Alligator mississippiensis: one gene and its partners. The protein of the gene in region 1 interacts with the protein of each later gene in a biochemical or structural test. Links are inferred from orthologs where the notes say so. Each region holds a gene or a part of one and is shown in the gene's direction. Other genes may lie near its edges. The genes, in order: CRK, ARHGAP32, ABL2 and MAP4K1.

Evidence for each region.
Region 2: the proteins of CRK (region 1) and ARHGAP32 form a complex in vitro, tested with the Homo sapiens proteins (2 studies listed by BioGRID and IntAct, with this or other methods). The link is inferred for Alligator mississippiensis from reciprocal best matches to the Homo sapiens genes CRK and ARHGAP32.
Region 3: of the proteins of CRK (region 1) and ABL2, one has a biochemical effect on the other in vitro, tested with the Homo sapiens proteins (2 studies listed by BioGRID and IntAct, with this or other methods). The link is inferred for Alligator mississippiensis from reciprocal best matches to the Homo sapiens genes CRK and ABL2.
Region 4: the proteins of CRK (region 1) and MAP4K1 form a complex in vitro, tested with the Homo sapiens proteins (2 studies listed by BioGRID). The link is inferred for Alligator mississippiensis from reciprocal best matches to the Homo sapiens genes CRK and MAP4K1.

Annotation. Positions count from the first base shown.
Region 1 is NC_081837.1:284,078-292,056, reverse strand, and holds the start of CRK (adapter molecule crk), read left to right. Parts: upstream 1-4,971; 5' UTR 4,972-5,032; coding exon 5,033-5,276; intron 5,277-6,258; exon of another isoform or gene 6,259-7,313; coding exon of another isoform or gene 7,314-7,389; intron 7,390-7,979. UniProt on the Homo sapiens protein: Involved in cell branching and adhesion mediated by BCAR1-CRK-RAPGEF1 signaling and activation of RAP1.
Region 2 is NC_081839.1:24,945,672-24,952,744, reverse strand, and holds the start of ARHGAP32 (rho GTPase-activating protein 32), read left to right. Parts: upstream 1-4,066; 5' UTR 4,067-4,153; intron 4,154-4,294; 5' UTR 4,295-4,336; coding exon 4,337-4,384; intron 4,385-4,404; exon of another isoform or gene 4,405-7,073. UniProt on the Homo sapiens protein: GTPase-activating protein (GAP) promoting GTP hydrolysis on RHOA, CDC42 and RAC1 small GTPases. May be involved in the differentiation of neuronal cells during the formation of neurite extensions.
Region 3 is NC_081828.1:51,224,606-51,232,512, reverse strand, and holds the start of ABL2 (tyrosine-protein kinase ABL2), read left to right. Parts: upstream 1-4,893; 5' UTR 4,894-4,964; coding exon 4,965-5,151; intron 5,152-7,907. UniProt on the Homo sapiens protein: Non-receptor tyrosine-protein kinase that plays an ABL1-overlapping role in key processes linked to cell growth and survival such as cytoskeleton remodeling in response to extracellular stimuli, cell motility and adhesion and receptor endocytosis.
Region 4 is NC_081838.1:1,988,789-1,996,020, reverse strand, and holds the start of MAP4K1 (mitogen-activated protein kinase kinase kinase kinase 1), read left to right. Parts: upstream 1-4,225; 5' UTR 4,226-4,883; intron 4,884-5,310; 5' UTR 5,311-5,630; coding exon 5,631-5,738; intron 5,739-7,232. Other genes in the region: EIF3K (eukaryotic translation initiation factor 3 subunit K), read right to left, coding at 1,452-1,483, 1,672-1,797, 2,155-2,232, 2,848-2,914, 3,119-3,193, 3,385-3,505, 3,605-3,703, 3,821-3,879. UniProt on the Homo sapiens protein: Serine/threonine-protein kinase, which plays a role in the response to environmental stress. Appears to act upstream of the JUN N-terminal pathway.

The DNA of each region.
Region 1 (7,979 bases):
CGGGTCTCTCAAGTGGTGTACAGCCCAGACAAAGTTACCAGTATGGCTGTAGATCAACACAGCCTACACTTCAAATCACAAGCCAGAAAAGTATTTCCTTAATAACCTCAATCCACTTGTGAAAAAAGGAACCGAGGAGGGCGACGACTCCAAGTGCCCGCACACCAAGGACACCACCCATGTGCTCTACACTGCCGTGCCGGCAAGCGGGCGCTGCGCCCGGGAGGTCACAAGCCTGCTTTTCCCCGGGGCAAAGGAGAAGCCTGAGCACGTTCCCCGGTTGCAGGTGGAACCGTCATTGGAGCGGGCATTGCAGCGTCTGCCCTTGGAGCTGGGCCATGTCTGCCACAACTCAACGGGATGGGCATGCACCATGGCTCTTGGGCTCACGCTGACTGCTTATGCGTCACCGTGCTAGTCACCCCCACTTCTGCTTCACAGGTTCCCTCCAGCGCCCCGAGTCTGGCTCACCAGCTGCCCGTGGACATGGCTGAAACTGCCAACTCCCCGACACGATGGATGTCACCTACATGGCCCAGACAAGTGAGCAATTCATTGGCTAGGTGGACGGCACAAAGCAGGTGATGCTCCCTCCTGTGCCCCCCGCCACGGTGCAGTCCTGAGGGGTGCGCATGAGGGGGAGGGGGCCCATCCCGCACTCAGGTCGCGGGCTACAGCCTCAGCAGCAATGCCCAACACCGGGCTGTAGTAGGGGCCCTCGCATCGCTCTTGTGGGGCTGGGCCTGGGCAGGGGAGAGCCTGGGGCAGGAGCAGTGCAGGGCTGCAGGGCAGGACTGAGGTCTCTTCCGAGGGGAGAGCAGTCCTGGCCACAGGTGCCCAGGAGCAGAGGGCTGGGCCTGCGGGGCATTGACAGGAGCGGGGTCTTTGTGCAGGAGTCCAGGACGAGCAGCGCGCGTCTCTGCTGGGTACAAGTGGGGGCTCAGCCAGGGCCGAGGGGCAGCCGGGAGAAATAGGGGGCTCCAGGACAGGGGTGAGGGGCACCCCGTGCTGGGGGGAGGGGGGCTGAAGGGTAGGATAGCGCTTGTTGGGGGCTTTGCCCCACTCCGCTTCCCCGCCTGGAGCCAGCTTGAAGGACAGGAGGGACGGCAACGCTGAGAAGTTTTCTCAACAAAGTATGTGAATACTCTGCACGCGTGCGCAACGTACGCGTTGTCTGCAAAAGTGAGGACACTGCTGTGTACACAGAAGCGAACATAACGGTGGGGAACGCGTTACACCGCTGCCCCTCGCTACGACGAGTAGCAGGATCCCTGCGGCTGTTACGGTGTGTATTGCGCACGCGCGCCCCCCCCCCCTTCTTGTGTGTGTCACACCCGGGACAGTGCCGAGTTCTTGGACGTCCATCTCGGAGCGGCACGTGCTCTGCGCCGCGGGCCCGCAGCCGGGCGCCAGAGCCGGCGGGAAGTCTCGCACGGCTGACCCCCGACGGCGGGCTTCCGCGTCGTTTTCTCTTTAAAATAGAGAAAATCAGCGCACGTCTTGTTAGCAGCGATTCGCCTCCCCTCCCCCGGCCGCGCCGGCGGAACGGGCCCGCGGGGATCGGAGTCGGACCAATGGGCACACGGACAGTGACACTCTCACCAATCCCAAACTCCAAATAGACCGCGGAGAAGGCGGGAGACCACCTGGGCCCGCCTCCTCCGGCAGAGGCCAATCAGAGCAAAGAAGGGCGGAGCGGCTCTGACCCCTCCCATGCGGCCGCTCCACCCAATCGCCTCACGCCTCGCTGTAGCCAATGGAAACGCGAGGCTGCGATCCCGGCCCTGCCGCGCTCCCCACGGGCCGTGTGTCCTCCCCGAGCAGCGCGACGCCGCCTGCCCCGGCCGCGGGCCCTGCCCCCGAGCCAGCCAGCGAGCGACGCCTTCTTGCTTCTTCCCTCCCCGCCGGGATCTCCCGCCTGCCCGAGCTGCAGGGGCGCGGCCGGAGCCGCTTCACTCTCGGTCCCCGCCCGTGTCTCCCGGCTGCAGCGCGCGGTGCGCGCCACGGGGCGGCAGCACTGAGCGCGCTCTGGTTTCTCCGGCTGTTCGCTGGCTGCCGGGCCCAGGGCGGCGCTCCGGGCCGGGGTGCCGTGCCCCGACCCCCGGCCGCCAAGCGCCGTGCGAAACATGCGCCGAAGGCACCGAGCCGCTTCCCGCCCTGCTGCCCCGCTGCCGCGCGCGGGGCGGGGCGGGGCGGGGCGCGGCGCGGCGCGGCGCAGGACGGCAGCACGGCGGGGTTGGTTGAACACTGCAGGGAGGGATGCGGGACACGGGACTGACGGACCCGGCCCCTGCCCCTGCCCGTCTAAACACGTGGCGAGGCGCAGGCGCCGTGGCATTAGGAGAGCTAAGCGGTTCCCTCCCCTCAGCGCGGAGACGGGGCGCGGCGCTCGGCTCACGCTGTTCGCTGCGGCGCGTCCTGCGCACACGCGGAGTGCAGATCTCGGGACACACGTCGCTGGCACACACTGCTCTGTCTAGGTGCAAGGTCGTCGAGTGCACAGCGCCGAGCACTGGCGCTTCAGTGCCCTGCTCCCCACATGTCACACCGCGGTCCCAAGGCCGCGCTAGAGCTGGGCTGAAGCGAGGCCTGCAGTGTTTTCCAAACAGCCACGGGCTGTCCTGTACCTTAGAAAAGAGGCAGCATCGGGCCGGGAGCGGGACACGCGCGGCCTCCGGGCCATGGGGCGTCCCCGCCCCTCCCTTGCCAGCCCGGCACTGCCTTCTCCGCGCCCGCCGGTCAGCTGAAGGGCGCCGCGGGGGATCGGAGTTGGACCAATCGGCAGGCAGAGCTATGCACACTGTCAATACAGCACAATAGCCAATCAGAATGTGGCCCAGGAGGGCGCGTTCCTCTCCCCGCCTTTTCTCTCCGCACAAACCAATCAGAGCGAAATAGGAACGGAGCCGTCCTAGTCCCGCCCACACAACCCTCGTAGCCAATCACCGCATTCACCTCTGCCAGGTGCCCGCCCGGGTCTCCCCGCCGCAATGCCCCGCGCGGCCACAGGAGGGCGGCTCTGAGCCCGGCTTTTCCTCCGCCTTCACGGACTGCGCCAATGCGCCGACGGGACCACAGGAGGGCAGCACCGAGCAGCGGGTTCGTCAACCCTCTGCTGCTCCGCTCCTTGTGGCTGCAGTGCTCGGAGCGCACCACCGGGGGGCAGCACTGAGCCGGGTTTGTCTTCACACCAAGTGCGGATGCGCGAGACACCTGTGATACCCGCACTCACTACAGACACTCGTGTGCGGTGGTGTGCAAGGGTGAGAGAGGAACACCTACATCACTATCGCCACTGAGAGAGACAGAGAGCGGTAGGAATAGGATCACTGTGTTACACACACGCTATGTCCATGCCGGTACACCCCCGTACTGCACTCCTCTCTGCACAATGTAAGTTCTTCAAAGTAAGCGCCGCAATGACCAACGCCGTCACTGCACCCCTGCTCTCAGTATTGGACTGCTCTACACCAAAGGGCCCAAACTCTCCCTAGAAGTGAACCGAGGTTTCCATTTTATTTTCCCGTTAAGAAGGGGTAATTTGGTGCTTTGCAGGGTGCTCTCCAGGGAGGTCTCGGCGTCAGCGCAGAAGCGAACGGTGTCCGCGGGGCCCACGTGCACCCCGTCGGTCACCGCCCTTCTGGCGTTGGTCTGTGAGAGCCTGGCTGCCCGCGCCCGGGGTCGCAGGGTCCCGCACGACCCGCCCTGGGCGCCAGAGCAGCTGCCGCAGCGCTGCGGGCCCGCCCGCGGGGGCCCGGCCCGGCCCGGCCCGGCAGCGGGACGTGGGCTCCGGCTCAGCGGGCGGCGAACGCGCCGGGCTGGGGCGCTGGGGATCGCAGTCGCCCAACATTTCCCGACAGCCAATCAGAATGAAAGCAAGGGGCGGGCGAGCCCTCAGGGCCCGCCTCCTCTGGTAGAAGCCAATCAGAGCGAAGCTGAGCTCTCCCGTGCGCCTTTCCGAGTGACTCGCAGCTCTGCTGACAAAGACAGCGCCCAACGGGAGCACGAGGCTCGGATCCGGCCCTGCCGCGCTCCCCGGCCGGGATCCATGCCCGAGAATCGTGCGTCCGCCCCGAGCAGCGCGAGCCGCGCCGGCCCCGCCCGCGGGCACTGCTCCGGTGACGCCCCGAGCGAGCGCGGCCTTTTTCCTCTTCTCTCTCCGCCCCTGCCCCGGCCGCACCGCGCAGCGCAGCGCAGCGCAGCGAGACGCACAGCCCGGCGCGCTGTCTCTCCGCCCTCGCCCCTGGCTGCAGTGCCCGGCGCGCGTCACGCGAGGGCAGCACCGAGCAGGGTTTTAGTTCCCTGGCTTTTGTTCCCGGCTGCAGGGGCGCGTTTGTGCCACAGGAGGGCGGCGCGGAGCCGGCTTTCGTGCTCTGCTCTGGTGGCCCGGTTGCAGTGGGCGGGGTGCGGCCCAGGAGGGCAGCACCGGGAGGGGTTTGGTTTGGTTTGGTTTTGACCACGCTACGCGGATGCATGAGTCCAAACCAGTTCGGTGTGTATGAAGTGCAGCTATTAAAATACACTGAGCTGCAAAGATCATATTTGACTACCTAAAGCGATTCCCCTTGTTGCGGAAGGAGGAGGAGAGAGGGATAGATCGGCAGGATCACTGTGTTTATTGTGGCACGTGCTGTCATGCATCCCTCGCTACTAGACACATCTCGGCACAGTTTCAAGTTCTTCAAAATAAGCGCGCCGTCAGTCAGCACGGGACTCTTGTACAGAAAGCATCCCCAGCTGCCCACTAGCATTGAGCCGCAGGGATTTCTTCCAGTTCTCACTGAACAGCAACGGGCTGGTTTTCATTTCTTTCTTTCTGTAAAGAAGGGGGACTGAAAAAGACCTTCCCGCCTGGACCGCGGACCACGTGGCCGAACCGGGCCATGCCCCCGCCCCTTGGAGCCACCGCGCACAGAGATGACGTTGAGCGCTGGCGCGCGACACGTCACTTCCGGAAGGTGAGGTCAGCAGAGGCGCCGCCATTTTGGGTGGCGGGCGGGCGCGCGGAGGGCCGGGCCGCGGCGCAGGGCCTATGGCCGGGCAGTTCGACTGCGAGGACCGGGCGAGCTGGTACTGGGGGCGGCTGAGCCGGGCCGAGGCGGTGTCGCTGCTGCAGGGGCAGCGCCACGGCACCTTCCTGGTGCGCGACTCGGGCACCATCCCCGGCGACTTCGTGCTGTCGGTGTCCGAGAGCTCGCGCGTCTCGCACTACATCGTCAACAGCCTGGGGCCGGCGGGCGGGCGGCGCGCGGGCGGAGAGGGCCCCGGCGCCCCCGGTGAGTGCGGGCTGCGGGGGGGTCGCGGGCTGCGCTCAGGCCGCGTCGCCCGGCCCCGGCCGCGCTCCCCCGCCCCGCCCCGCCCTGCCCTGCCCTGCCCTGCCCTGCCCCGAGCGGAGCGGAGCGGAGCGGAGCGCGGCCCCGACCCTGCCGCCTCCTGGCGCGGCGCGGCCAGCCTGCGGCGCTACCTGGCCTCGGGCGGGTGCGGGCGGCCTAAACCAGGAGACACGGGGCCAGTCTTCCTGCTGCGCCTGGGGGCCGGGCCGGGCCGGGCCGGGCCGGGGCGGGTGGCGCCGAGGCCCTCGCTTGAGGTAGGTGGCCTGAGGCGACCCGAGCTCCGACATTGCCACCCGATCCAGGCCCCAGCCGTCCCCCCGGGGCCCGGGAAGGAACAGCAGCATTTACGGAGTTTAAAATCTGGTGTTTATCTAAAGGGAAATTGAACAGGAAAATTCAAAAGTTAATTCAAATGTCCTTCCAAAGTTGATATTTGAAGAGAAATTGAATTGGACCTTCCTGGAAAAGAGTTGTATTGCGTTCTTTTTTCAGATCGGGGCCGTGACCGTGATGAGTTTTATGATTTCTTTAAGGGGCGCTTTGAGATGCAGTATGGCAAAGTTGGATGCGATTTGAAAAAAAATAGCCAAGTAATATTTAGCTACAGCATGAGGAACACGCCTCGTCTGTGGGTATCTCACGGTAACGATGTTTGCGGGGAACGCCGGCTTGCTGCCGGGTCACGCGCTGGGCGCAGGCTCGGTCCGGTGCGGCTGGTAACACGATCCCCGTGTCTGTATAAACAGGAACATGGAATAGGAGACGTCTTACCTGGGTGTGTGGCAGCAGTAGAAGCATAGCATACAACGTAGTTCTAGTGTTCGCATTGAAAAAAGGAGTAGAAAAATTGGGACCTTTTGGAGGAGCGATTACAAAGGCTGGATACTAGCCTTTATTTATTTATTTATTTTTTTACAAAAAAGTGTGTGTGTGTGTGTGTGTGGGGTGGGGGGGGATATATTCTGTATTTCCAGCAATAACACACTGAACACACTGTTGAAGTTGACCTGGCGTATACGTTGTTTTGAAAAGAGAGTATTGACTGTGTTCAGGAAAATTAAGTTAGATATGGGTACGTTGCTTAGTCTGTTGAGCCTATTGTCTTTTGCTTTGTGGCATGCATAACATTTGATTTGTAGGATTTATAGTAATTTGGTAACAGATTTGTGATTCGTATACTTTGTAAGGCTGGTTGGGACCTCACTTTTCCAGCTCTAGCTTTTCCCTCGTTTATCTTGACTACAGAAAAAATAATAAGTAGAGTAGTTCTTCTGTTGCAAAGAACTCAGACCATAGCAAGTCAGGGGTTTAATGCAGTGGATCCTTATGTGAAATCTCTGGGTTTATCTCGTGAATCATGTTTGTACACCTGAGAGTGTTAATGTGTGGCAACCTGCATCACCCTTGAAAAGAGCTCGAGGCAACCCAGGGTGCTGCAGCACCCCAGTTGAAAACCACTGGGGTAGAGAGTGGGATTTTAAAAGGTACAGTTGAAGAGCACTGGTCCCACTATTGAGTTCCTAAGTGACTTAGGCAAGCTTTGGAAGTTCAGTCAATGTGTTCAGGACCTTGAATAACCATCCTGTGGTGGTGTGCATTGCACAACACTGGCTAAAACTTCTTTTATTTTGCATATGGGCAGTTCCATTTAACAAAGTGAGATTACTTATGTGTAGGTCTTCCCATGTTTGAGGTTTGGAACCTTTCTTCCTTTTTGTGTCTTTGTGACAAGGTATTTAGCAGAGCTCTCAGATTCACTGCGATCTGGCAGGTTGCACGATGAGAACTTCTGCTCGGGCCTTGAAGTTGTGGTCTCTGGGCTGTCAACTGTGGGCCTTGGCACCCACACTGCCCCAGGGCTTGGAGTACAGCTTGTTAAGCGTTTAAAAGGCCACGCATCAGAAACTAACTCTGCTTCTGCCCCCTACTCTTCCGGAAGTGGATAGCACGATGCATCTCTTTTTGTAAACTAGTTTCCTAATGTGTTTACAAATCTGCTCAGGAGGTGTTGGGTTGTTACACGCTTTCAGCAGGGTAATGAGTAGATCTCTGCTAGGTAAGGAAATGAGTTTATGTTGCCAAATGTATAGTAGTAATTTCTTTATTTGTAGCTGCCTTTCCAGTTTGAAAAATTCCCTTTAATATCAGCAGATCATGTTTGCGTATCACATTGTTTATGATGCTTCATACTAAAAGTATATTTAAAACAAAAAAAGTTGGACTTTGAGGGGTCACGTGTTTTTTGAGATCTATTTAACAATACAGATACAAAAACTAATGAATAGAATAGCCAAAATCTATTAAAGAATGGATTTATTCTAGCTCATCATGAGAGCAAGAGAAATGATTGATGAAAATTGAAAAGCAGCTCTATGAAATAATGTTCTCTTGTCTTTCTAGGCTGCAGCTTCGTTTTTCAGTCATATTGAGTAATTACTGCATCTGCTCATTTCCAAAGTATTATTAATGATGGGAGGATGCAATATGTCCTAAAAAAATAATAGCATTTTGGTGTGCATAGTCGTAACAATTGTCCACTGACTTTTCAGGATGCTCTCTTGAAGCATTGCTTTGTCTCGTATGCTGTAAACTTCCTGTCCCACCTGTTTGCAAGATTGCACTATCTTGTTCTCCTCAAGAATCTGG
Region 2 (7,073 bases), on another chromosome or scaffold:
CTGACATGCATTTTCCCCTGTGCAGAGACTACCAGGTTTAAATTTGGTATCATAAATTGGCAATACCTTAGGCTTTTCTGTATGCCTCTAGTGGTTCCGTTACTTTTTGGAAAAGTGCAGCATATTTATTGGCCAGCTGACTCTTAGAGCAACTATAGACAATAAATACTACTACTAATAATAATACTAAATTGTAACCAGTAGAAAACAGAGGCAAGCTGAACAATTCTAATGGAGTTTACTTGACTTTCCATTGTAGTAGTCTTGTGAATGTGGTGTTATCTTCACGACAGCCAAAGAAACAAGTGGAGAGATGGGGAAACCGAAACAGTTAACATTGGGCTTTATTTTCGATGGCTTACATATAAAACAGAGAAATCAGGTTTTACTGATGAGAGTGAAGGAGGGAAGAAAATGAAGGTAGAAATCCACGCAATCTTGTGTCAAAACTAGTCATAAAAGTGATTGGTAAAGCATATGGAAACTTTAGAAAAACAACATGGAGGTCATATCTAAAGTAACAAACTCACAGATAAAAAGAAAAGCCCTAGGGCTGGGTCAGGCAAAATGCAGCCTGAGGACCAGATTGGGCCCTCAGCAGACTCCATTTCCCAGCAGCCCCTGCCTGCGCCACTCCAGCCAGTCTCCATGAAGACCCCAGGAGTGGTGGGGCTGTGACAGTTCAGGGCCAGGGTCTCCATGGAGACTGGCCCGAGCCACACTGGCTGGGTGCACGGCTGGGCAGGGGGCTGCTCCGGGGCTAGGGCTGGGATCTTGCAGCAGAGACAGTGTGGGCCAAGGTCAGGGCAGAGCTGTGATCTGTTGCCTGCATGCTCTGGGTCAGGCTCACACTGCCCACATACTCTGGCTCGAGCCCATGCTGTCACCAATACAAAATCCTGGCCCCTGCCCCAGAGCAGCTCCCTGCCCAGCTGCACGCCCTGCAAGCGTGGCTTGAGACGGTCTCCATGGAGACCCTGGTCCTGCACTGTCATGGCCCTGCTGCTCCTCAGGTCTTCATGGAGACTGGCTAGAGTGACGCAGGCAGGGGATGGTGGGAAATGGAGTCTGGCCACCGGCCAGATCTGCCATTTTGCACACCCCTGCCCTAGGGTCTTAAACTTCAGAAGGGGCCTAGGAGACCTTAATTTAGACTTCCCTACATGGTGGAAAACAAGCCTTTAACAGGTTACAGTTATTACAGCTTTTACCAGGGGTAATGAAGAATCTTATACCCATAAAAATCCAAGAGGAACTGTAGGTAAATGGAAAGTATTTGGTCTGGAAACCAGGATACTTTCTCATATGAAAAAAGCCCCTAGCATCTTTGCTGTAACCATTAAAGACCAGACCTTAGGTGTTATGTCTTGCAATATGTAGTATTTTCAGTGAAACGTTGCTCTTGAGCACCATGGTGGGGCCAGGATGTGGTACACACTGAAAGGGAAAAGTGCCCTCCGTTGAATCAACACAAGTACATCTTGCAGTACTCCAGGGGTGCTGACAGATATACAGATCCCTGCTGTAAGTCATGGTGCTTCACAGGAAGCGCTATGAGTTACAGTGATCCCCCCACAACCCAACAGACATTCACTGTTGAGTCAAAGGGGTTAGGGGATTGGGGATCAAGCTCCAGTTTGGAGTGGCTGTATGTCTGCAGCTTCTCTCTTATAGCCCCATGCCCTTCCTCCCAGCTCCAGTGCTATCTTCAGGATGGGAATGGGGAGAAGTGAGGGGAGGAAGCTTTGTGGGGTTTGCCCAACGTGCTATGGAGGGTGGGGTGGGTGGATTTGAGGTGGGAGGGTGCTCCAATCCATCTGCCCCACCCTCCAGCACAGGCTGGGCAAGCCCTAAACTGATTTCTCCTCCCCTCCTTCCTGAAGACATCACTGCGGGCAGGGATCTGGTGCATCGGCCCTGCCCTGCTCCTGGCAGGGACTAAAAGAAGTTAGTGAAGGTGCTCTGCTTTGTAGTGCCTTCATCTGAATGCTTGTGTAATGAGGGTTCAGGTTATCATGCAGTTGTCATGTTTGACAGCATCACAAGAGAAAGCTGCAAAGCCACAGGCCATAGCCTAATGTCCCTCAAACAAATCACACACCGCTCTGCAATTTTGCCATCTTAAATGATGCATCCCACTTTAGCCAGTATTTCTTTGAACCCACTGCCTGCCCTCACTGCCACTTCAGGACATACTTATATACATCTTCATAGCATACTTTCTCTTGTTTCATGTGCAGCCAAATATATGTCAACATTGTTAAGTATCCTTCATCAGCATGAGTTGGCACGGAGAGACTAGAAGCAGTTCACACCTCTCAGAGCTATTGTATCAGGCTCTCTGCATGCTTGCAGTCATCACTACAACGGTGACTCTAACATTGTGTTTTGAAGGTTTTCTTTGTGACCGTAACAGCTAGACACATATTTGCTTCCCCCCTCCTCTTGAATGAAAGCTCAGCCTGCAAAACAATTTAGGGACCAATATGCATGTCCTCAGTCAGCTCTTTGTATTCTTCCAACACTCTGGCATAGTTTCTACCAATAATATTATCAGATAGCTGATATCACCAGGCTAGTCATATATATTTTAACAGCCCCACTGCCAATTGGCACAGGCAAAAGAAAACAAAAAGACAAAACAAAAACCTGAGAAGAAGCCAAGATAGGAATATTCCCAGGGCTGCATTTAATACTAACTGTCCCTCCCTGCTTCTCATAAAACTGTTTTTAAAGCACACCCTTCCCTGACCTTTTAAAAAGCAGTTTTGCAATCCCTATGTGTCTCTACCCACCTCCCACCTGTGCTGGAAGGCAAAGTAAACACTACAGCACCTGTGCAGACTGCCCAGTGCAAGGCACTTACTTGCCATACACCTCTGTGCCCGTACTAGAGGCTGGAGCGCTCTCAACGACAGACCTGCAGTACTAATTCTTTGGTAGCAAATACGCGCCAATAGCCACATTTTTAAAGCTATGTGGACAGTTAAAGGGACCGATAAGCAGCTATAGTATTGAACTGGCACTGAAACCCATAGGTGTTCGGTGCCTTTGTGCATCAGAAAAAGTCTCTAGATATGGAGTTGCCCACTTAGGTGTCTGTTTCAGAGCCTAGTCCCAAGTGCTTACAGGGCAGCACACACTAAAGAGGCTTGACGTGTCCTGCCTAGTGTCCTGTGTTGAGGGACCTGAGGAAGAAGCTCTTCCATGGGAAAGCGCGTCTGACGTCCCGACTGCCCAGCTGGTCCCAGAAAAGCCGTCGCGCTAGGAAATTGCTGCCTCTTGTATCACGTCTGGAGCATCAGGGCTGCCGCACGGCTCCGACACTCCCCGCTGACACGCAGCTCAGGTGCTTCGAGTGGGCCGAGCGCTGCGGTGCGAACGGGAGCGATAGGATGCCCGTTTGTCCAGTTTTATAGAGGACAGCCCGCTTTCCTGCTACTCCGATTGAGCCAAACCGGACGCCTTTATGTCAGACTGGTGGAAGTCTGCGGAGGAAAGTAGAGGACATAAAGGCGCCCGGTTTCATGTCAATTGGACAGAGTAGCAGAAAACCGGCTGTCCTGTGTGAAATGGGATGAATGGCCACCCTAGGCAGCAATGGGCCGGGGGCGCCTGGCGAAACACCCAGTGGCGCTTTCCGGGGTGCCCCTTGCGTAGGGGCGAGGTGGGCGGCAGGCGAGGAGGAGGCCTCTCTCACACGACTACAACTCTGGCCGGAGAACAGCATGAAGGACGCGTGCCCTGGGGAGCACGGTGACCACCCGCAGGTGGTGGCAGCACTTCTTTGGGGGGTGCCCCACCAATCTCAGGGGCCCCCCCCATTATGCCTTTTAGGAAACCCTGCGTGGGCAGGCGCTGCAAGGAGGTGGCACCTCCTCCCTTGCAGGTGGCCGAGGCCCCGCCCCCGGCCGCGCGGGGTGCCCCGCCCACACGGCGACTCGCGCCGCCGCGGGGCACGAAGCCCCGCCCCCTCGCATAGGCCCCGCCCCCCGCGGCCGGGGATGGGGATGAGGAGGGGCGGGGCCTGGCAGTGCGCATGCGCGCGGGTGAGGCGCGGGCGGTGAGTGCGGTGCGGGCGGGCGGGCGCAGCGAGGCGAGGCGGGGGCCGCCGCCGCCCGGCCTTCCCCTGCCCCAGCCCCAGCGCAGCCGGGTCAGTCGGCAGCCCGGGCCGCGTGGAGGACGGAGGGGGGGAGCCGGTGTCCCAGGGGCGTTTTGCTGCTTCCTTTTCCCTCCTCCCTCCCCTCCTCCCGCCGCTCGCTTCTAACCAGGTTTCTTTCTCCTCCCCTCGCAGCGCGGGGGTCGCGGGTCGTGGGCGGCGGATGGCGAGCCCGTGATGTGGCCTTGCCCGGAGCCGACGTCTGTGGGTCCGTGCGGCTGGTGGGTGAGTGCACGTTGACGGCGCGCCCCGTGTCTTTATCCCACGCTCGCTGCTTGCCCACCTGCCTGGCATTTTGGCGCGGGGGGCGCTTATAACGGCCCCCGCGCGTCCACGAGAGGGGCGTCCGGACCGCGCTACGTTTCGCGACCGTCGAGAGACGTCGGGGCTGGGTGCGGAGGCGCCCGCGTGCGTGACATCTGCCCGCCGCCGCTCGAGCAGAAAGGGACCCGGGGGTCGATGCCATTCGTGCCTCGTCCCCCCGGCACCTCGAACGCGGGCGTCGCGGTCTGTGTCTGTCGCCAGCTTGGTTTACGAGCGATCGAATTAGACCGTCCTCCCCCCTTCTGCCTTGTCTGGTACCCTCATTTGTTGCGTACAACTACACGTATGTGTGTGCCGGTAACTGTAGAAATCAAGCGTGGAGATGGTGGGTATACGGAAAATTAATTTAGACATTTCTCTCTGAACGGGTGCAATAAAACAGCACTTTGGACAGAGACTCGCGAGGCCTGAGCTGTGACTAGAAGCCCGGTGTCCTGTAATGACTGATCCTGCTTATCCTGGGACTTTCCTCTAGTGTGACGATGAGGGAGAAGGCTAATAGATGACTCTTTTTTGTGTCATATAGTTGTCTCGTTTAATGGGAGAGGTGTCGTACTGAGCAGTATTTTCCGGTACGATCAGAACATTTCTCTCTCCGTGATACAGGACTCTGCGCTCGTGATTCAAAGACTGTTATAGCAACCTCTGTTCAGCGCGTTTGAAATGCTGGGATCATAGTAATGTAGCTGAGGAGTAAACATGGGATAAATGCATCCATTTCCACAGAACAGGGACAGACCTCCTAACACGCGTACTTGGTAACATACAATTTGTTTCCTTCCCCGCAGATGTCTTTTCATTCCTGTTTTGCAAAATTGCGTTAGCCTTGGGTGAACAATTTATTTTGACTGGCATGTAAAATATTATACTTGCATACATTCATTGTGATAAAGAGCAAGCAAGTATATTTTGTTCCTGGGCTGGTAAATTTTCATGATGATTATCCAAGGACTCTTTGTGCTACACAGTACCACAAACTTACCCTGGTATATTTGACAGTTTTATAATGTTTGAACATATTGTAGCCATCTGGAAGAATCAAACTTATATTCCGTGGAGGATATGACACGATTGGGAAGATAAAAGGAGAAAAATGGGGTCAGAGTCTAGCAGCATGCAGCTGTAAGACCTATTATTTGGGACAATTACAGAATTAAAAGCATTAACGTGGTGAAAGTAGGTGTATTTATAACGTACTGGAATATCTTTACATTGCCAGAAGCAAACTGGTTTTACTGAATTAACTCGCAGTTCAGTATTGCATTGTGCCATCTTTATCTGAAAAGTGTCCATCCAAAATAAAGTTGCTGGTGGAGTTTCTGAATTAACAAGTGAGGCTTGAGCCTGATCAGCCTAGCTGGCAGTAGGGATTGATGATTATTAACCTTAAGTGTTTATGTAGGTTGTTAACAAGACGTTGCAGTCTAAATGTGTTGCTTCAATATGGATCTGTCACTGTCTTCTTTTAAATTTTAGTTTTGAGCCTTCCTGTGACAGAAATAAGGTTATTTCGCTGAATACCAGGAAAAAGAAAACTTCCTAGCTTAGTCTTAAACTATGGAACAGATTTCCAAGGAAGTTGTCTTTTTGCTTGGGGCACTTAACATTTAGACTGGGGATGGTACCAGCTAATGTAAAATAGGGAGCAGTCTTGCCTTGGCTGTTTTCCCTGGAGCTTGTCATTTTCAAACTTACCTTCTGAAGAGTAAATATTTTGCCATTTGCTTGCACCAGATCGCATAAACTTCAAAACGTTCTGTGTGGGAAGATCCCTGCAACCCCCATTTCAAATGCATAAGTTGAACTAGATGGTATTCTGTCAGTCTATTCAAAGTATGTTATTTTCCCCAGGATCCATCTTATAAATATTTCCTTGGCCACGGTTATAGGCGAGAGTTTGTTTGAAGGGAAATTCTGAATAAATTCCCAGGCCTTATCCACCATATTCTCTTTTGCAAACAAGTGCACTCCGGTTCTATCATAAAACGGGGAGGATTGCTTTCACTGGAGCTTCCTGTTATAATATTGGCAGAATATCTCAGTAACAGTCCCTTTCCATCTCTCATATCTGTAAGGGCTGTTGCCTTACATTTATTGGTTATGATGATACAACATCTGCTGATGTGCTGCTGAGGAAGGGAGAGAGATGGAATGGTGAAAAGTCTAAGGAGACATAGTTAACTTGAAAGGATTCTAGAAATTTGAATGGAGCAATTGCTCTCATGGGACTACAACGATATTGCAGGGGGTCAGGCTAGATGATCTATTCAGGTCCCTCCCGACCCTAGCTACTATGAATATGTGGCTTCAGCCAGGTGTAAGATGGGTTTGATTCCTTGCACAGCAGTTGTAGTGTTCCTGATTCCTAGTCTGCTGCTGCTCCTGCTGTTTCAGCTACAGGCCCTCTACCATGCTGAGGCAGCAAAGTTGTGTTAGGTTATGCCATCTTGTTTGTGGGGTAGTTTTATGATGGGCATGAGAACGGGGAAGGGGACTAGGAAGAGACCCATAAAAGTTTCCTCACTTATCCTAAGCAAAACTTGCACTCGGAATTGAATATCTGATGGGGGTAATCAGCTGTGCCACCAGT
Region 3 (7,907 bases), on another chromosome or scaffold:
AGAGACGGCTCACAAGAGGCACAGGTAACTTCAGACACAGCTTTATATGTTGTTTCTACATCCCTCTCCAAGAGCACTGATTGTAAGGGAACTCAGAGAAACATCACAGTCACTGGCCAGCTACAGATGTCAATGTCAGAGCAGTCTTTCCCTCCCCCCGCCCTAGTCTTTTCCATGTATGGAAGATCACCCTATCCCCCTCCCTCTTGTTAGTTTGTTTGCTGCAAGCCTTTCAAATCTCCAAAACACTCCAAATCAGTTTGGAGACTTCCAATTCGATTCAGACCTTTAAATGGGTGTTCTGATTTGATTTGGATTTGGAGATTTGGCTGTCAGTTCTGGCTGAATCTCCTCTGAATCAAATTGGCTACCGAAGGCTTGCATAGCGCTACTAGCCATCCATTTGATTCTCTCTTCCATCAGCCTCTTGAATATGATGTTATACTGGTGCCAATTTGGAGCTTATTTCCTGAAAACACATTCACTGCTGTATCCATTATAGATAACCAGAGCATTGGTGGGCTCCTTTGGTCAGCTAGGACAGCAACAAGTTGCACTATTTAACTTATCTGGGGGTTGCAGATATGGAACTGCAGGGACTGAAGGATTAAATTCTGACCGGCTATACCAAAAGTGGCTAGTAGCTTCCAATGCACAGAAGGCAAGTGGGAAATGAGCATGTAGGAGGCCAGAAAATTCAGCCCCAGAGAATTGTGCGATGGTACTGGAGAGCTAATAAAACTCAAGTTCTACAATTTGGGCATCAGCTATGTCCATATTACAGAATAGTGGGTTTTGAATTCTTACTACAGTAGAACCAAGGCTCTGAACTATGCTGTCAGACATACTGGCCTTGGCATGCAGTTCTCAGTTCCCATGAGTTCCCTATCTCAGGTGGCCATAGCTATGCCAGGCCTTATCTAGGTCTTGCATTCTACTTGGGATCACAGGGCCATAGCTGTGCCTGGCCTCCTTTTAGCCACAGTGTTGTAGGGGCCAGGAGTTAAGGCACCCCACCCCACCTTTCACCAGGGTGGTAATTGGCCTGGTATTTCCAGGGGACTCCAACACCACTAGGAGCCCCAGCAGGCTACCCATCCCCAGCAGGGTACAGCTTTTAGGTCATGCCCAGGACCAGGAGCCTCAAAACCAACCCCTTAAGCTCCTGCCCTTACCTCCAAGATATTACATACAGCCTTATAGCCAGCCAATATTTCTACCTAACTTACCAGTAGTGAACAGCTCTGTTTATATAGGTGGCCAGAGATCTAAAATGGCTGCTGCAATCAAGCACCTGCTGGCTGCTTGTCTCAGCACTTAAAGTGGCAGGCACCAACAGTGCCCTGCCACAGACTTTTAGATGTGAAATAATGCAATTAGCATCTGCCCTACACAGTTTTCTCTTCTACCTTCCCTATTTCCATTAAAAGTGTGTTTTTTACAGTGCTTTCTTGTGACGTGCATTTTAGTGAGTCAAAGGAGTGTGTCTTCCACTTGCATCCTGGACCTTTATGTATATCGGTCCCACACTTTAAAGAAGAGAACTTGAATTTGAGTTGATATTTAGTGAGGAGCTAATGCAGTGAACAGAGGACTGGTTTAATTTATGACACATGTACAGGGCAGCCAATGGTACGAGCACAAGCCTTCCTAGAAGTAGGGTCGGAAGGGACCTTGTAGATCTTCAAGTCCGACCCCCTGCCTGGGCAGGAGGAAAACTGGGCTCAAATGACCCCAGCCAGGTAGGCATTGAGCCGCTTCTTAAAGACCCCCAGGATAGGAGCCAGCACCACTTCCCTTGGAAGTTGGTTCCAGATCCTAGCCGCCCTAACTGTGAAGTAGTTCTTACAGATGTCTAATCTAAACCTACTCTCCAACAACTTGTGGCCGTTATTCCTTGTTATCCTGGGCGGTGCTAGGGGAAACAAGGTCTCCCCCAAACCCTTCTGGTCCCCCCTAGTGAGTTTATAGACGGTCACAAGGTCCCCCCTCAGCCTTCTCTTGTGAAGGCTGAACAGGTTCAGGTCCTGTAGCCTTGAGGGGATACAGATCCCTTCTGAACCCTGATGAAATATATGCCCCTGAATTACCTATTCTCTAGATTTTAGCCAAGTGAAAAATGAAGAGAGAGCAGCAAAACGTGGGGGCAGAGGAAGTTTGTTTATGACACAGACATCCCACACATGCCATCAACCAGCAAACATTTTTTATGCCTTGTACTATTCCATCCTAGCAATTGTTCACTGCATGCTAAACCATTATCTAAGAATGTGTTGCCACCTTGCAACTCTGTACCAATGTGGTTATCATGCACAGGGTTTTGTTCTTTCTTTGCATAGCATTGGATTAAAACATTTTCACCCCTTTTACCCTGGGTTGACATAAACTGCTTGACTAACTGCATGTTCTAGATTGCATCAACATATGACATCTGTGCTCCACGTGGCTACCATGTGCAGGGTCTTACATTCTCTTCAGTCTCTACAAAGCCATGTAAAGCTATGATTCTTAACTTTCATTAATAAAGTGTTAATTCTCTCCCTAACTCTCCACCTTCTGTGCACTTTCTCCCAGTGGTGAACTCCCTTAGCTTTTAAGTACTTAAGAGTTTTATCCTTTTAATCAGAACATTTTCTGATGCAGATACATAGCAATTTTTATGTAAGTTTTTGTCTTAATGTGCCTTGATGTTAACAAAACTATTTTTACCAAACTGGTGATTATGTCAGTTACCATGCAGGGGCAGAAAATCTCACTGAGTTTTAGAAGCCACTGGTTGGTTAGTCCTCTGCAATCCTCAGTGTGGGGCAAACTTTTTCTAGCCTTCACCATTTGGACTGGCTTTGAACACCCACCATACTTTTGTTCCTGCTTATCTAAAATGGGGCTGGGAAGGGGGATGAATTCCTATACAAAAAGTGTGGGACTCATTCCTACCAGATGTTGTGGAAGCCAAATTCAAGAAGGGATTAGAGCAGGGGCGGGCAATTATTTTGCGCGGAGGGTCGCTTACTGAGTTTTGGCAAGCCATCAAGGGCCACATGACAGGAAGCTGGGGACAGATAAATATTAATTTTCTAAAATTTTTAGGGGCCCCATGGGCCAGATAGAATGGCCTGGTGGGCCGCATCTGGCCCACAGGCAGCATTTTGCCCACCCCTAGATTAGAGTCATAAGAGAAGTAGTGCTGGAAGACACCTCCAGAGGTCACCTAATCCAGTGGTTCTCAACCTTTTTTGTACCAGGGCCCATTTGTAAACATTGATGGCCAATCCTGACCCAATAAATAGTTTGAGTAGAAAACAGTCCCCTTGCCCTGCTGGTGCCCCTCACTCCTGACCTGCTGCCTCCTGCCCCCCCAGTCTGTGGGGTAGGAGTGGGTGTGTGGAAGCAAGGGGAGCCTCAAACAGCCCCTTACAGGCTGAAACTCTGCCAACCTGCAAGGAAATACCCCCAGTTTCCCATGTTTTTCTCCTTTAAGGGAGAATCCATTTTTAAAGTTTGTCTGCGACCCTTTCCTATATTCTTGCGACCCACTTTTGGGTCACGACCTATGGGTTGAGAAACACCGTTCTAGTCCACCCCCCTGCCTGATGCAGGATCATCCCTATCCTAACCATCCCATAAAAACCCTTATTTAAACTCTACGTAAGACTGCCCTCAACCCGGACACAACACAGACCTAACACCCAAACCTACCACAGCCTCGTAAAGCAAGGGGAACCAGGGCAGCCAATGTCCTGCTTCTGTGAACTGTTACTATATGCTCAAGAAGTCCCTGGTAGAGGGCTACATCCCCCCCTCTGCCCCCACCCGAGGAAACATTGGACACAGTGTTAGAGGAAAGGGGTATCAGTAGCTATTGAGCACAGGATTTAGGGATACAGCCTCTGGATCAGAACTTCCTAGACCTTAAATGCTGGAGATTGCAAGTGTGAGGAACATTGGGAAAAGCCGTGGCCAGACCCAGTTCACTCCCCCTTTCAGCATCCTCTCTTTGCCCCTGTGTGAAGCAGGAGACCCAGCAAGATGGGCCGATGGTTTGAGGCAGTGAATGGCAGCTCTTATATTCTTAAAATCCTGTGTTGGAAAAAGGGTGGGGATGGCATCACCTCCAAAAGCCTAGCCCTGGGGACAGAGAGGTGGGGTTGCCAACTTGTTTAAATCTATTCCAGGTTTCCCGAATGCCAACAAATTTGTGAGACACAGCGCAAACGTGCCGGCGTATATCAGTTACAGATTACGATGCATAGACTTCACGCCAGGAAGGCAAATGCACATTACTATTACATTTTTAAAACCCACTGGACTACTGTATAAATTGGACTCAACGTTTAATTTATTTGAATGAATGCCCTATCATTGATCTCTCCGGTACCTCTCAGCAGTCTCCTGGAGACTGTATCTATTTCCTGGAGACTCCGGGGCAATCCTGCGGGGTTGGCAACCCTAGAGGTGCTCAGCCCTGTCAGCCTGAGGTGAGGCAGAAGGCAGGGTAGGTAGATTTGCACCGGCCAGACTCAGGACATCAGATAGAGAGAGCAGGAGCGCGGGTGAGCCCGGGTCACTTCCTCAGGCGCTTGCACAGCATCTGAGGAGATGAGCTCGTTCCCCGAGGATCCTGCTCCGCAGGTCTGCAGCGAACCGCTCTACGAGGCCCTGGGGACTGGAGGGGGAGGAGGGGACACGCGGGGCGGGGCGGGGCCGACCCCCTCGGAGGACCGGAGGTGGCTGCGGGAGCCACTCTGCCCCCTCTCCCGCAGCTCTGTGGTTAAGATGGCGGCGGGGGTTGAGGGGGCGAGCCCGTGACTCCCAGGCCGGAGCGCGGCGGGGCGGGGCTGGGGCCAGCCCTGTAGGGAGCCGCCGGGCCGGGGGTGCCGAGGCCGCCCGCCGGGCCGGGCCGGGCCGGGCCGGGCCGGGCCGGGCCGGGCCGGGCCGCGGAGGCGGCATGTGATCGGGGCGCGATGGGGCAGCAGGTGGGCCGCGTCGGGGAGCCGGGCGCCGCTCTCCAGCAGCCGCCGCCTCAGCAGCAGCAGCAGCCGCCGCCGCCGCGGGGCCTGCGGGGGAGCAGCGCGGCCAGGCCCGCTGGGCGCCGGCGGGAGGCGGCCGGGCGCGCCGCGGAGGGCGGCTTCAACATCTTCACCCAGCACGGTACGGGCCGGCCGGGGTCTTCCTAGGAGCCGGCGCGGGGGCGGGGGGCGCTGGGCCCCTCCCGCGGTGGGAGGGGGCGCGGGGCGGGCGCTGCTGGGAGGGGGCTGGGCTCCCGCGTGGGCTTCCCGGCCCTGGAGGGACGTGATAGAAGGCGGCTTTCCCTTGGGCCGCTGCCTTACCCGCGCCCGCCCACATTATGTCCCACCGTGGCTGTGACAAGTTTGGCAGCTTCTCCCCCATGTTCCCATGTCCCTTGGGGCCGAGCAGGTGTTGAGGGTGCTGGAGAGCCGGGACTGTCACTGAGCGGGGCTGCCCCTCCTCTGTCTGGGGGTACAGCACTGTCATCCTGCTTGTGGGATGGTGTTTCACTTGCTCAGTGAGGAGGGTGGCTCCTGGCAGGCAGTGGCCTAGGGGCAGCTCACGCTTCTTGGCCTGGCTTTAATAACTCGGTCCTCTGTCAACCGACTCTCATGTGTTTGAAGTCCAGCTTTGCTTGTCCCAATGTGCTTGTCTTTTCCTTCTCATTGTCAACAACCCTCTGTGGTGCTGCCTGTGAAGGGAGAAAGTCGGTGGAAAGTAGGGAGCTTCCGCAGGAGAAAGTCAGCTTAGAAAAAAAGCCTAAACAATAGATGCGACAATCTTTAATCCCACATCTTTCCTGTACACTTTTTCCTTTTTCTTTTCTTTGTGTGGCATACTTACACTGTGCTGGTATGCACTGAACCCTGGCAGGTTATCAAGAGTAGAAGTCTTATATTGGTGCACTTTGTGATGCTAAAGACCTGAATCCATTTCTGAGAACATTAATTGATTTTGTTGCAGGTGAGGAAGATAATGCTCCCATATTCATGCTGCAAAATGCTTCTGAGAGCATAGATTTTTCCAAAATCCAACAGAACAAGCAATGAGTATTAAGATCTTAAACAGCTTGCCGGTTCTTTAATGTAAATATCATCCACTGTTGCTGCTGATAATGGACAGCCATAGGAAATCAGTGCAGGTGCAGGGATTTGTGGGTATTTACAAAATGACACAGGCAGCTTCTAACACTAAATTTATTTCCTAAATAGAAAGTGTGTATTTGTGTGAGTCTAAATATCTGTTGATATGCTGCCTGTTGACTTAAGACATGGTTCTGACTTAAAATTTGCACTTCTAAATGTCTTACCTGCTATAATTGCAAGTTAATTATAAGAGCTGTAACTGTTAAGGAGCTGTTCTGATGATATTCATATACTCAGTTTTGTCCTCTCTCTTGTATAGTCAGCCAATTACTCTTGGCTTCCTAAGTCTTTCAGACAGCACCACAGGGGACAGAGATACTAATTAAAATAGGAAAATGATTGTCAAAAAGACTGCTGGTAACTTCTTAATGTCTACAAGTTTGAACTAGGGCAGGAAATGGGAAGGGTGTTCAGAGGAAGTATAGTACTGTTTTTGGAACCTTATGTAGGTTAAATGTGATGCAGTTAAGCTGGGGTTAGGTTTTCATTGCTCTTTCAACTTACTCTTTTGTGTATGTCTCTATGCTGCAAGAGTAGCCAAGAGTAGGACTTCATTGTGCTAAATCCTTTCCTTGCTTGGTCTCTCAACAGGCAAAGTAGGCAAAGGATTGAAGAAAGGGAGGATTATTAGCCAAGTTCTAGGGAACTGAGGCACAGAGAGGGGTCCTTCAGCTGTTGCTTGGCAGAGCCACAGAATTGGCCCCCCACAGTTCCTCAGCAAGAAGCAGCTCCTGCTCTCTTAGGTCTTTGTACATATCTCTCTATATAGCTGAGGACAGAGGGCGCATGGAATGAGTCCAGGTTCAGAGCAGAACTGGTCATTTGCCCAGCAGTAAGAGTATTTCCCTGTGGTATTAATGATGTAGGTTATTAAACGTTACAGAATTGTTTTGCTATGTACAGTATATTGCTTGCTTCTGCCTTTCAGCTTGTACAGTGAAAATGCCTGGAGACAGTTTTACTTTCAAGCTCTTGGTGTTTGCTTTACTTTGTTTGTGAACAGTTCAGAGGGATATATTCATTGGAATTTTCAAGGTGAATATGCATCATCCTATTTGTTGGGTTCCCTAAAAAGCCAGGTGGCTGGTTTTGTTTTTGTTTTTTTGTCTGTTTTTTTTTTAAACAACTAAACTTGCATGACATTCAGGTGCAAGCTCTGAATCCCAATGCTGCTTCAATCAATACTTTAGTCCTGCTAGTATGAGTTTCTGCACCCAGTTACATTTTACCAGAACTAATTAGTGCCTTGGAGACCACAACCAAAGCCACTAGAGAGAACTTACCATACTGCACTCTAGTCAGAGTTGAATACTTATATTAAAACAAGTCATTGCAGGCAGCAACCTAAGCCCTTTGTGTAGCCTGGGCACAGTTAGATAATCAGGAACTCATTTCCTTTTTCAGAGGGGTTTCCCTACTTTTATCTCTCTTCCACTTGCATTTGTTGCTTTCTCTTGCTCCTGTCCTTAGTCTTTCTTCCCTTTACAGTACTTTGGCTCCCTGATCATCTTCAGGAGGCACACTTCATCTGCTGAACTTCCTTCAATGCATGATCCTTATTTTCCTTGTCCCCAAACGGTTCTGGCTGCTTATTGCATTCCACTTAATTTGGTTTCCTTCCTTCTCTTTGTGACTAGCTTTGTACCTTGTTATATCCGTGTTCAGTTCCTTCTTCTGTTAGAGGGGCAGTATAGTCAGCATTATTTGCTGTGGATAAATGATAGAAGGGATAAGAACACTGGTCCATGTATT
Region 4 (7,232 bases), on another chromosome or scaffold:
CTGCGAGATGCTGAACATTCCTGCGATGTATATATTTAGCCACTGGCTGGAAGCCACTGTTTATAATGAGGGGGCTCCCAGGATGCAACAAAAGGGTGTGAGGCACTTCTAATCCCCACCCCACCTGCACCAGAGGTGGTAAAATGGAAAGGCAAGGTCTGCCCAAAGTGCTGGCCTGAATGACAGCAGCTCAGTAAGGAGTTGGGGTGCAGGAGACGGGGTTGAGGGGCCGCACACTGCTCTGGGTTCAGAAGCCCCAACCTAGAGCAAACATCCCCAAAAAAGGGAGGCAAGCAGCAGGCAGCTCAGCACCACAGGGTTTTCCCCCAGTTTTCTACCATGCAGAACCACATAGAGACCCTCAGGGTCTCCCAGGTAGCTCAAGGGCCAGTGGGATGGAGGCCAGCTCTGCCACAGCCTGCTGAGGGCACTGAAAGAGCCAGAGACATGCATGGCAGCTGCAACTCAGCACAGAGAGAACCCGATGCCGCAAAGCAAAGATGTGGCGGCTCCCAGGCAAAGAGCAACAGTGTAGGCCTCTTCCCCTCTCCCCAGCACAGGGCACAGAGCTGCTCTCGTGGGGCCTTGAGGAAGAATACCCTGCCTGCAAAAGGATCACCTAACCACCCCACAAAGTTGGTCTGATGAGAGATCCCCCACAAATATCCATGCCTGGTACACAATTCCTGGCCAGCAGCAAGATCCAGGTCCATGCAGGAGCGGTGCTGTGAATCCCAGGGTGCCCATTTCTGACTCAGCCATGGAACCCAGAAGCCCTGCTTTCCCTTAAGGCCTTTGAATAGCAATTCTCAGGCAGAGACTCCCTCCAGGGTCCCCGTACTGGGCAGCTGCTGCCCCAAAGAGGCCTCAGGGGGCAACCCCCAGAGCAGCACCATGACCACAGGCCGGCTGCGGTGGCTCAGGCCCTCCCCACAAGGGGAAGCATGATCAGGTCAGCAACAGGCTGGTTCTTATTTATTGGCCACCTACCACCACCTGGCGGTCAGAAGAGTAATGACAGCAGGACCAGCTGCCAGGAGTCCTACTTAGGCTTATTAGTGTGGGGCTGGTTACCTCACCCCAGGAGTCCCGGGTTCTTTCCCTAGCTGGGCAAAGTGTTCGTGCTCCGCGGCAGAAAGAGGAGGTCATTATTCCTCCAATTCGTGGCTGGGGGTGGGAGGGTGGACCCTCAATCCAGCCAGCAACTGTCCAGAGGAGAGAGTCTGTCTTGGGCAACATGCCAGTTCCAGCCCAACAGCACTCCCACCCCCCAGGAGCCTTACCCAGAGCTGGGGCTCCCCCATCCTCCCACCCCTGAGAGGAAACAAGAAAAGATCTCTCCAAACATTTATTGGCCAGGGCTGGATTAAAATTTAAAAAGGAATTAAATAAGAAATAGACCCAGAGCAGGTTCTCACAAGCAGCACAGATGGTAGTGGGCAACAGGGGCATCACAAGGAAGATGCCATGATGCTGGAGACACCTGAAAGAAGGGAGGACAAACAAATTAAACTCCAGAACAGTGACTCCATGTGCTCCAGTCCACAAGAATTCAGCCCAGGGAAGATGCCCATGGGCCAAGGCAGGACCTTGACCTCTGTGGACAACTCACTCCAGCCAGATCCACACCCCTGTCCCCATCCTCAGTACCAGTGGGGCCTCGGCGCTTACTGTCAAAGTCTATTTTCTCTACAATGTTCTTGGGTTTGACGCTCTCCTCCTGGTTGCAGATGAAGACCTTGCCAGGCTCAGTTTCTGTCCAGCCATATTTGCTCATCCAGACCTTGAGCTGGCTGTCTGTAGAGAAGCCAAGGGAATGAGCCAATGGTAGTTTGGCACAGGGAAGGCGAGGTACGAAGGCACATGTGTTTAAGCAGGGGGTGCCAAGACAGAGTAGATCTTCAAGGGAAGTGATAAAGCACCAAGTCTGCCCTAAGACTGCCAGTGGAGAGCAAGTAGGGTGACTAAGCTCAGCAGCGCATGCAATAAGGGCCCCAGGACCCCTGTAGCTGGGACAGCATTCCCAAAACCCAACCCAAACAGCCTGGAGTCACACCAGTAGCAGTACAGCTCACAGACTCCCTTGATCCACTTTGGATGTAGGGCGAGGGGCTCATTTCTGAGAGGGGTCTGGCTTCCCTTTGGGGAACTTACCTGAGAGGTCTCCCAGCATCTCCGCCAGCAACCACCGATCAACGTGCTGGTAGGTGATCCCCACCACGTGGCAGATGACTGTGGAAGGAACACGGACACTTGGTGCTACTGGCACATGTTCAGGCGTGCCCCAATCCCCCGATGCACAACAAGCTGTTGAACCCCTCTGCTGTGCCCTGCTGCCCCCACACGTGCTCCGGGGCTCAGCGGCTGCTGGCTCAAGGGAGGACAACACATTTCCAGGTCTCTATCGCCGTCCGGATGTGCCAGACACGAAGAGGATCCTTGCTGCAGGGAATTCACACTACTTGGCACAGGGGCAACGCGTAGGAGGTGCACCCCCCGCCCCCCTCCCGGTCAGGCTGCACTCCCCGTTTAGCCAGCGGGCAGGCAAGAGCACCAGTGCCTCCCCTACAAGTGCTGCCTGGGGAGCAGGACTGTCAGTAGCATGGCTGCTTTTATGATGAGAGTCAGGTCGCTTGTGAGGCACCCCCTGGTCGCTGACTGGTGTTGGGGGAAGGAGGAGCACGTGCTCCCGCTGACTCGAGACAGACACCCACAACTTGGCAGAGCACCGAGGGCAGCAAGGGACACAGCAGGAGCCTGTCACAGCCGGAGACGGGACCTGGACCTGAGTCTGAGTCTGCCCAAAGGGGATCGTGCAACAGAGCAGAGGGGACAGCAGCCACTCACATTTCCTAACAGAGTCCTCAAAGCCAGTGATCCCGTCCAGCAGCTCCATGTTCTCATCCAGGGCTTGCTGCAAAACAAAGGAAGAACCGTGCATTCGCGTCGGTTAGCAAACACCGAGACAGAGACGGACGCTTCCTGACCCGAGGCCACGAGCTCACAACGCAGCGGCTACAGGGGTGCCGCCAAGGAGGCACGGGGGCAGGGAGGGCGCACGCTCACGCTGCGGAGGCTCCCCGGGCTCAGGGCACCAGAAGGGCAGGACAACGCTCACCCAAAAGGCCTGGAAGTGGCAGGTCTCCAGCAGCTCCCCCAGGTAGAGGATCTGCCTGATCGGCCTCTCTTCTTGCTGCGACGAGCGGGTCAAGGGGGAAAACAGCAAACGCAGACCCCCGAGTTCACCCCCGGGCGGAGGAAGAAGCCGCAAGGCTCGAGGGAGGCCAAGTGTCACGCCCACAGCAGCAGGGAGACCCCTCCGAGCCCTCCCACGGCCAGCGGGCAGCCACACGCTGCTTCTGACCCGGGGAAATAAAAGGATACGTGAGCCTGGTCGATCATGCACTTGCAGAGGGTGAAGTCCGTGTGCGGGAGGTTGGTCAGCGCCTTGAGCAGGATCTGAGCGGTGACGGTGGTCTGGAAGAATGCTGGATTGAACTGGTACCTGAGGAGGAGGGTGCACGTGTTAGTATGGGGGGGGGATTCGCGTGGTGCCCCCCCGCCGCCCCCAAAAGCAGGGTGTGGCAGGGGAGACGACGCTCACAGCTTGAGCACGGCCAGGTTGGCCTCCAGGTCGTAGGCGTTCTCCTTGGCCTGCGTCTCCACGTAGCGCTCCAGCGTGGCCAGGTTCTCCGGGTTGTACCTGGGGCACAAGGCGGCAGCGGCTGAGCACGACTCCCCCCGCCCCGCCCCGCCCGCCGGCCCAGCCAGGCAGCTCTACCCCCACCCGCCCCGCCCCGCGCCGCCGCCGCCGCCTCACCGGTCGATGCCCTTGAGCAGCTTGCCCACGTTGGCCCGCATCTGCTCGAACAGCGCCATGGCGCGCGCGGCGGCAGCGGCTTCCGGGGCCGCGAGCGGGAGCAAAGCGGTGCCGGGCTCTTCCGGCCGCGGCAGCTTCCGCTTCCGGCGTCGGGCCTCGCCGGGCATGCTGGGGCGGGGAGGGCCGGCGTGACACGCGTGCGCACTAGGAGGGGCCGGGGAGGGAGGAAAGCCCCGCCCGCAGTGAAATACCCCGCTAGGCCCCGCCCCCTGGGCGGGCAGGCCACGCCCACGCTCCCCCGCCCGCTGCCGTCGCTAGGCAACACCCACCCTTAGCAACCAGACCCTCCCTCCCCTCCTAAGTGCTCCCGCCCACCCCAGATGCCCCTCCCCTCAAAAACTGCCCCCCTCCCCCAAGCGCCCCCCTTCCTCAGCCTGCCCCCCCACACCCCCAAGTGCCTCCTCCCCCCTCTCATGCCCCCCTCCCCCCAACCGCCCCCCTCCCTCAGCCTGCCCCCCCACACCCCCAAGTGCCTCCTCCCCCCTCTCATGCCCCCCTCCCCCCAACCGCCCCCCTCCCTCAGCCTGCCCCCCCACACCCCCAAGTGCCTCCTCCCCCCTCTCATGCCCCCCTCCCCCCAACCGCCCCCCTCCCTCAGCCTGCCCCCCCACACCCCCAAGTGCCCCCTCCCACCTCTCATGCCCCCCTCCCCCCAACCGCCCCCCTCCCTCAGCCTGCCCCCCCACACCCCCAAGTGCCTCCTCCCCCCTCTCATGCCCCCCTCCCCCCAACCGCCCCCCTCCCTCAGCCCCCCCCACACCACCAAGTGCCCCCTCCCACCTCTCATGCCCCCCTCCCCCCAACCGCCCCCCTCCCTCAGCCTGCCCCCCCACACCCCCTCAAGTGCCCCCTCCCACCCCAGATGCCCCTCCCCTCAAAAACTGACCCCAGTTGCCCCCTCCCCTCAGGGTGGCAGCCCCCCCTGGTGCCCCCTCCCCTCCAGGACTGATCCCCTCCACTCCCCCCCCCACCCCAGCAACAGCAGCAGAGAGCAGCGCTCCAGGTACGTTTTCATTGGCTCCTGCGAGGGATCCGGTGGTCCCAGCAGGGCGGGGCTCCCCTCCCATCTCGGGCGGGCCGTGGGGCTGGGGGTCCGGCAAAAAGGGAGCAGGGGTGGGGGGGGCTAGGAGTCAGAGCTCAGCCCTGCCGAGCTGCCGCTCGAAGCCCCCCCTCTTTGTGCCTCAGTTTGCCCCTTCCGCCGACTGGGCGCAACGATCCCAGGATCAATTAATAAATAAACGCTGGACTCAATTAATAAACGCCCCTCCCTCCCTGCCACTGCCTTGCTGCCGGTGTGGCTGGGTGGCGGGCGCCGGGTCCCTGCCCCCCCCCACGCCGACAGGGCTGGGGGGGGCCGCTCGGCCGTGACATCCTGCCCCCGAGCGGGGACAGAGCAGGTGATGGCAGGGCGTCTCCTTGTTTCCCCGCAGGCGCCGCGAGGTGTCACAGCCGCGCCGGGCGCCACACGCGTGCTGCTCGCGCACACGGACGGGCACGAGGGCCAACGCCAGCCGCTCCCGCACCTGGGGCCGTCGGGGAGGCCCTGCGGAGCGGCCTCCCGGGGCCACGGCGCTGCAGGGCTCCCACGTGCTGTCTAGGGGGCCCCCTGGGCTCGCCGCTGCGCCCGGCTGCTCAAATCAGGAAATAAAAGCGAGCGAGCGAGCAAGCGTTATCAGCCCCTCCGATCACACACACGCGCACTCCTGGGTGCAGGGCGCCGCAGGCTGCACGCACGGGCGGGCGCCCAGACATGGATGCCCAGGACCGAGCCGCACTGGATATTTCCACCAGGAACCCCCAGGACGACTTCGAGCTGCTGCAGAGAGTTGGCGGCGGGACGTACGGGGAAGTGTACAAGGTAGGCCCGAGGATGCGTCCCGCTCCCTTGCCTGCATGCGGTGCCGAGCGTCGCATGGGTGGGGGACGAGTCTCCACTACCCTGCCGAGACCCCAGGGTTTTGGGGTGCTGGGGGAACACGTCACCCTTCGTGCCCACGTGGGGCGAGGGCAAGCGGTGCAGGGAGCTCCGGGAGCCACGGCGGCGAAAGCAGATGCAGGAGGGGAAAGGGCCGAGCGGGGCCAAGACCTGCACCTGCCCGGGACAGTGCTGGGGATGAAGGCGTCAGCAGGGCTGGCACCCCCTGCACCCCTGCCTGGGGCAGCCAGGCGTGTGGAGGTGCTTGCTGCCGGCTGTGGGTCGTGCTCGGGGCCCAGGGTGCTGCGGGCGTTGGACTCAGCCCCCTTGCACAGCCCTCGTGGTCCCTCGCCTGGGTTTGGAGGGGCAGAAGAGAAGGGCCCAGCTCGGGCCTTGCTGAAGGAAGTGCATTGGCACTGATTCCCTCCGTACCCCCGTGGGCGTAAATCAGCAGAAGCCCCCTGGAAACAGCGTGGGCGCGAGTAGGGCCCGATCCCTCGGCTGGGGTGGACTCTCGGAGTCAAGGGGACGGTGTCCCCAGGGCCCCGGCGGGTGGGAACGGATGTCCCTGTCACCTCCCCCCCCCCCGTGCACAGTCATCTTCACCGGAGGGAGTGGGTGTGAAATGCCACGAGCTCCCCACGCACCACAGCTCACACCCACTCGGCTCCCAGCCTGCCCCGCTGGAAACCGTGTCAAGGCAGCTGGGGGGCAGGGGTCAGGCTTCCCTGGGCCCAGCGCGGCTGGAGTCAGGCCGCTTGGCCCACAGCGTCGGGGACCCGCAGTGCCCCTCAAACATGGCGGCTTGGAGGGAGCAACATGGCAGCGGGCTGTGCGGGGCTCCTTTGCCCACTGCTGAGATGCGCCCAGCTCTGGGGTGGAGCAGGGAAGCTGTTCATTCAGCTGGTCTAGAAAGACAGCCACCTCTGGGCTGGGGCAGGGCAGCTGGGGCAGGGCAGCTGGTTGCACAGGGACCCCGAAATGCAGCTGGGTGCCTCTGCGGGGGAGATGCACAAGATCTGGGAAGGGAGGCAGCTTCAGAGGAGGGTTGAGAACAGTTTGGGGCGGCAGTGGGACAGGCGGGCACAGGCTGGGCACCGAGGTTTGCAGGCTGACGGGGCAGGGCCGTGGGAGGAGGGAGCCTGGTGCCTGCTGAGAAACCCCGGGGGCCTGCCGGTAGCACCACAGCCCCGGGTGCAGGTGCTCCCGCCTGCCTCCCAGCAGCTCCAGCACAGGGTCCGGTGCCCCAGCTGCCAGCAGAAATGCCCCAGGGGCTGGAGCCGGGGCTGAGCACCGGGACCACGGGTCTTTGCAAGACCGTCAGTGTCACAGGTGACATTGGCCTGTCCCTTGATGCCGGTGCCCCTCACTCCTGACCCCACACCGGTTCTAGCCCCAGCCCCACCACGACCCCCAGGCAGGGCATCCTCCCTCCAG